Linked DNA regions of Macaca mulatta. Each later gene encodes a partner of the first gene's protein in a complex. Links are inferred from orthologs where the notes say so. Each region holds a gene or a part of one and is shown in the gene's direction. Other genes may lie near its edges.

Region 1 (3,647 bases):
ATGATGCATTAAAATAACTGTTTTGGCCTGTCAACAGTTTTGACTTTACTGTGTAAAGGAGACATATTAGCCTGAAAAAGAAACTGAAGACTTGTTTTTTAGTGGTCTAATCTTGGCATCCAGTACAACGAAGAGTTCTAATATGATGCAATTCTGCTTTATTTGTAATAGATCGGATGCAAGATGGCTGTTGTGATGTTTATTTACTTCCTGGCTACAAACTATTATTGGATCCTGGTGGAAGGTCTCTACCTGCATAGTCTCATCTTTGTGGCTTTCTTTTCGGACACCAAATATCTATGGGGCTTCATCTTGATAGGCTGGGGTAAGGCATTTATATCTCCATTCCTTTCAAACTGGGTGATGGATATGATAACATTCTGTCATGCCCATCGTTAGCATCCCTACAGCAATTTTCCTGAAACAATCCCTCCCATTCTTATTTTTATCTCCCTTTCTTTTATTGTTCTATTCTTAGACAAAAATAATTAAGATCAAGTCTATAATTCTCCCAGTGGTGACGAACTTTTAAAGTTATTTGTGTTTAGTGTCCTTAGACCAGATTCTTGAGAGGATTCTTTGGAGGAAATGTAAGAGAACTCATTGTAAGCCATACACATGTAAAACTAAATATCAGTGTTCTGCTTTATCAATAATTTTATCTTAAAAATTTTTATTTTTGAATTTCTAAGCTACAATGATATATTTTTGGTTTGTATTTCTAGGTCATATGATGAGAGTGCCAGAAATGAATTTGTAGGACCATCCTGACTGTATTTAACAAATACAAATTCCAAACTAATGATGTGGACTTACTATGTGTTTTAGAAGGAAATTATTCAAATTACTTTTGGCATAAGTAATTAAAAAAGTATTCAGTTCTCATTCCAAAAATGATTTAGCAGTACAAGGGGATTACCGGATTAGGCACTGACTCAACATAACATAGAGAGAAGAAATTGTTTGCTTGTTAAAAATTAAGAGAAATTAAAACTCATATGTGGTTAAAATTGAGAAGAGGTTGGAGATTAACAGCTGCAGATCTCAATTGCTATTTTAATATTTACATGCTCAGCATAGGAAAAAAATTCACTAAGTAGCTCATAACTAAATTTGAAGGTTTTTTTCCTCTCCAAAATAAGAATATGCCCTTGCCTATTTTGCCTTAATTTTTTTTCTTAACAATTGAAATGTGAAGTAAAGAATGCTGAACTTTCTGCTAGCTAATTAATAACCTTTAAGAAGACAAAGAAAATCAATTTACTGTTATACTTATTTATTATGAAATAATCATCACATTTAAAATTGTATTTTTGTAGACAGCTCATCTGTTTTAAGGCTCTTTCTTATCTTTGACTAGCAGTTATAAAAATAAAAAAGATAATATTTTGCTTTTTTAGGATCCTTTGGAAATTTTCTTGACAGTTTGTGATAGTTTGCCTTCCTTCAAATCAAAATTATATCTGTGTACCCACATAATTATTAGGAGTTGGAAAAGGTGTTGATAGAAAATTCAATAATGAATGTAGACATTTGTTTATTTAGGTTATATTTTATTTTTCGAATTTCTTCATCATTGCTCACACTTTAATAAATACTGTTAGTCACATTGTAGTGATGTGTGGAGCTACACTTATATTGATTGTGATGATCCTTTCCTTTTTAAATGTTTTATTATTTTATTTCTTATTATTTGTTAGAGATGCGGCCTTATTATGTTGTCCAGGCTGGTCTTGAACCCCTGGCCTCAAGCAATCCTCCTGCCTTGGCCTCTCAAAGTGCTGGGATTACAGGTGTGAGCAACCATGCTCAATCTGATCGTGATGATTCATAAAAATAAATTGGAAGGAAAGGAAATGACAAGCTGGAGAAGAATAGGTGTCATATCTGACCTTTACTAAATTAAGGGCAAATATTTAAAAGGACTGTTTTTACATTTTTTTATTATGAAACAAGATATATAGAGAAGTAAAGGTGAATACTAGTGATAACTGTTCCTTTTCTTTCAACCAAGCACATTGTTAATTTTCCCCATCCTTGTCTCAGTTTTCCCATAAATAAGGTGCTTTATTCTTACTTCCATTTTATTTCAACTACACATTTTCCTCTATTTTAATTCTGTATGTAAAAGGTAAGTCTTTTTTTTATTGTTACTAAATATGATAATTTACTTCTATATTAACAGCCATCCTTAATTTTCAACTGTCAGATGAAACACCAGTATGTACATATCATCATATAACAGCACCTATCCTAGTAATACCATCTTACATAGAATATTTTCACATAATGTGTTCCATGAAAATAATCAGGAGATGGTCCCACACTCCCATTTTATTCCTTTTATAAAATATTTTAATCCAGCAAACATTTTTTGATCATCCACTTGGCAGTAAGTGTTTAAACACAGAGACATGTGTTAAAGTCTCCCACACAAGATGCATGCACTCTGACCCTTCAAGTTATTTTGTTTGTTTGTTTTCTTGTTGTGATCATATGTATCATATTCAACATTTTAAATTTATAGTTATTTTAAAGTTAAAGTTTTGTCTTCACAAAACTTATTTATATTGTATTGACATGTCTTATGAAAATAACTCCACTTTGGGATGCTGAAGCAGGCGGATCACGAGGTCAGGAGATCGAGACCATCTTGGCTAACACGGCGAAACCCCGTCTCTACTAAAACTACAAAAAAATTCGCAGGGCGTGGCAGTGGGTGCCTGTAGTCCCAGCTACTGGGGCGGCTGAGGCAGGAGAATGGCTTGAACCTGGGAGGCACAGCTTGCAGTGAGCCAAGATCGTGCCACTGCACTGCAGCCTGGGTAACAGAGCAAGACTCTGTTTCAAAAAAAAAAAAAAAAGAAAAATAACTAAACTTTCAGTAAATGCACATATTGGATAACATTTAAATGTATATTAAATTTACTTAATTTAACATTTAAATTTAAAATAACATTTACATGTCAAGTATTTTTGCCTTTATTTCTGTGTTCTAGATTATGTAACAATGTCATATTAAGACTGGTGATCAAAAACCCTTAAAGGATCCCAAAGTGGTTTTCTGTTCTTTATTCTTCCATGATAGTCTTTATGCTAGTGTTACGCATAAGATTCTCTAAGAAGATGAGAAAAGCCAATTCCATAAAGACATGGTGCCTATGTATGATATTTGTTATAATTATCATCTAAAACATAATGCCAACTCAAGCACCACTAGGAACTATTGTATAGAACAGCATTCGGGAAGTGCCTGATTAGGAGACTATAAAGGAAGCAGAAGATGCAGATATAAGAATGATGAAATGTGAAAATTGATGAAAGACAGGCAGACACTTTTTGAAGATAACTAAGACAGAACAGCTGAGGGATGTATGTCAGGCCATATGGTAGGATCTATGCCAGGCTGTATGGTGGATTTATATCTAAGCATCCTACCAGAAGCCGCTGTCCCCTCCCCATTACACAGTATCACTTTTATTTATTCTTCATAGCACCAACTGAAGTTGCTTTGTTAATTTTGACTGCTTCACCAGAATATAAGTTTTAGAAAACAGGGATATTGTTTATTTGTTCATTATTTTTATGATTTAGAACAATCTTTGATACATAAGTAGACACTTAATAAATGACTAATGGAGAAATGT
Region 2 (2,917 bases), on another chromosome or scaffold:
TTGCCCAGGTTGGAGTGCAGTGGTGCAATCTCAGCTCACTGCAACCTCCAACTCCCGGGTTCAAGCGATTTTCCTGCCTCAGCCTCCCAAGTAGCTGGGATTACACCACACCTAATTTATGTATTTTTGTAGAGAAGGAGTTTCGCCACGTTGGCCAGGCTGGTCTTGAACTCCTGATCTCAAGTGATCCACCCACCTCGGCCTTCCAAAGTGCTGGGATTACAGGTGTGAGCCACTGCACCCGGCTGAGGCCCCTCTTAAGAGTCAGCGTGGGCTGGGTGCGCTGGCTTATGCCTGTAATCCCAACACTCTGGGAGGCCAAGGCGGGCGGATCACGAGGTCAGGAGCTCAAGACCAGCCTGGCCAACAGTTTGGCGAAACCCCCGTCTCTACTAAAAATACAAAAATTAGTCACAAGTGATGGTGGACACCTGTAATCCCAGCTACTAGGGAGGCTGAGGCAGAATGGCTTGAACCTGGGAGGTGGAGGTTGCAGTTAGCCGACATGGTGCCATTGCACTCCAGCCTGGGCAACAAGAGCAAGACTCCGTCTCAAACAAACAAACACAAAAAAAGAGTCAGTGTGAGGAGGACTGGGCTTTAATCTTAACAGCACCCCCAAACTCCTCCCAGATAAGGATTTAGACACATCCTCAGGGCAGCTCAGGAGCCCTATCTGTTTTCCCCTCTTCACTCTCTCTCTGAGGCTTTTCTGATGTTGTCTGTTACTTTTCCTGTCCTCACACCCCTGCCACACGTACCCTTTGCCATTTCTTGCCTTTTCCCCCCTCACCATCTCACCCTTGGTCTTTCTGGGCCTCTCCCTGCTGGATTTATCTCTGGGCAGCTCCATCCAGGCCAGGATGTCCTTCCATTGCCGTCTGTCTTTCTGAGAGCCTTTTCTTTCTCTCCTCCATCTCCGTCTGACTGTTCGTTTCCATCTCCTTTGCTCTCTTTTCTTGTTTTCTTCCTTTTCCTTTCTTTTTCCGTCGTTCCCTTTCTTTCTATTTCTTCCTCGGCCACTCTGTCTTTGTCCTTCTCTTTGTGTCTCTGTTCCTCTGACGGTCCTTCCGCCAGTCTCTATTTTTAGCCCTCTGACACACCCCCTGTGTCCACCTCTCTGTCTGTCTGTCTCTCCCCCTCCCTCGTCTCAGGTCCAGCTTCTGGTCCCAATTAGTTGGTGGCGGCCAAGGCAGCGGCAGGTCCCCCACCCCCGGCTCCTCATTACCGCTGGCGGCTCCTAATGAGCCTGGGGAGGGGGTGACCCCGCGCCCCCGGCCCCCCGGCCTGCGTCACTGCCCGGTGCGGGGGCTGCGGAGGCGATATAAGGGGGCTGCCAGCATCGCTGCCCGAGACCACTGCGCGGTAGGGGACCGTGCGGGAAGCTGGGGGTGGGTGCATGGTAGGGCCGGGGTTTCTGGGCCGGGATGCAGCCCCACTGAGCCCCTTTCTGGTTCACAGGTGATGGAGACCCGCCAGGTGTCCAGGAGCCCTCGGGTTCGGCTGCTGCTGCTGCTGTTGCTAGTGGTGCCCTGGGGCGTCCGCACTGCCTCGGGAGTCGCCCTGCCCCCGGTCGGGGTCCTCAGGTAGGTGCCAGGGCCAGAACTCCCAGGGAGGGGTGGGGACCTGGAGAAGTGGGAAGAGAACCAAAGAGAAAGGGGACAGAAGACCCAGAAAGAGGGACAGAAGCCCAAAGAGAGGGCGACCGAGACCCAGCGAGAAGACGGAGACTAGGGGTGGTGGAAGGCGGGAGGAGGGTTTGGTGGTGGTGGTGGTGCGGGAACGGACAGAGAATCAGCAAGGGAAAGAGACACAGAAAGATAGATGCCTAGAAAGGCATGGAGAAGGCTGGAAAGGAGCCGATGCAGAAATGGATTCGTTCTTTGAGCAACGTTTAGTGGGTTCTTGGTGTGCGCCTGGCCATGTGCTGAGCGCTGTGGGCGGACAAGTGCATCAGACTCGGTCTCAGTACCTGGGGAGTTTCGAACCTGGTGAGCAGAGAGACAGAGACCCACACAGAGAACGAGACAGAGGGAGCCGGACCGACCCACTCCACCGACGGGGCAGTAATAGGGCTTCAAGTTAGACCGCGGGGAGGACAGGCGGCGGCGAGCGCGGATCTGGACGCGCCGTCACCGAGTCTCTCCACAGCCTCCGCCCCCCAGGACCGGCCTGGGCGGATCCCGCTACCCCCCGGCCGCGGAGGAGCCTGGCGCTGGCGGACGACGCGGCCTTCCGGGAGCGCGCGCGGTTGCTGGCCGCCCTCGAGCGCCGCCACTGGCTGAACTCGTACATGCACAAGCTGTTGGTGTTGGACGCGCGCTGAGCGCGCCGCCTGTCCCCATCTTAATAAAGACCCTGCCGTGCGCTCCGGACTGCGCCTCGTTCCTGTGCGACCTGCGTGTGCGTCGGGTTGGGGGCGCAGGGCTGGAAAGGTTGGGGTAGAAAAGAGACAGAACTCTGCGTCGGCCACTCTGGCATCTCTCCCTTCAGTTCCCACTCTATTTTCTTTCCTCAATTCCGTTTCTCTGCCTCTGTCTTTGTCCAGGAAGCTAGCTTCTTTCCTATTTCTGGATCTCTGCTTCCCTACCGCCCCCCACCTCCGCTCTGTCCCCTCCTTTCATTCTGGGTCCCTGTCCCTCCCTACCCCCGTCTCTGTCCCCTTCTCTGTTTCTCTGTAATCTCCAAGGTCTCTGTCCTCCTCTGTCTCTGCCCCCTTCTCTGGGTCTCTTTCCTCTCTGGGTATGTGTCCCCGTCTCCCTGAGTCCTTGCGGGTATCTCCCCTTTTACCCTCTTGGCTTTCTGGTCTTCTGAGAATCTCTGCCTCCTCTCTCTATTCTCCTTCTGTCTCTGAAACTCTTCCTTTCCTTCTCCCTCACTTTCTTTTTTCCTTTTTCCTCTGCCTGACTCCTTCATA

What was found. Proteins that work in one complex are often made in the same cells at the same time.
Region 2: the proteins of PTH2R (region 1) and PTH2 are in contact, whole or in part, in a cryo-EM structure (PDB 7F16), measured with the Homo sapiens proteins. The link is inferred for Macaca mulatta from reciprocal best matches to the Homo sapiens genes PTH2R and PTH2. Residues at the interface, in NP_005039.1 of Homo sapiens: Thr31, Ile32, Ile34, Gln37, Ile38, Asp68, Gly69, Leu70, Ile90, Tyr91, Asp92, Phe93, Met112, Lys117, Ala120, Tyr122, Leu126, Gln130, Pro131, Ser134, Lys137, Gln138, Phe141, Glu142, Tyr152, Arg190, Ile194, Lys197, Val201, Ile205; in NP_848544.1 of Homo sapiens: Ser62, Leu63, Ala64, Leu65, Ala66, Asp67, Asp68, Ala69, Ala70, Phe71, Arg72, Glu73, Arg74, Ala75, Arg76, Leu77, Ala79, Ala80, Leu81, Glu82, Arg83, Arg84, Trp86, Leu87, Tyr90, Met91, Lys93, Leu94, Leu95.

What each region holds. Positions count from the first base shown.
Region 1 is NC_133417.1:113,702,083-113,705,729, forward strand, and holds part of PTH2R (parathyroid hormone 2 receptor), read left to right. Parts: intron 1-171; coding exon 172-325; intron 326-3,647. UniProt on the Homo sapiens protein: This is a specific receptor for parathyroid hormone. The activity of this receptor is mediated by G proteins which activate adenylyl cyclase. PTH2R may be responsible for PTH effects in a number of physiological systems.
Region 2 is NC_133424.1:61,848,645-61,851,561, reverse strand, and holds PTH2 (tuberoinfundibular peptide of 39 residues precursor), read left to right. Parts: upstream 1-1,464; coding exon 1,465-1,586; exon of another isoform or gene 1,587-2,151; coding exon 2,152-2,326; downstream 2,327-2,917. UniProt on the Homo sapiens protein: Plays a role as a potent and selective agonist of PTH2R resulting in adenyl cyclase activation and intracellular calcium levels elevation. Induces protein kinase C beta activation, recruitment of beta-arrestin and PTH2R internalization.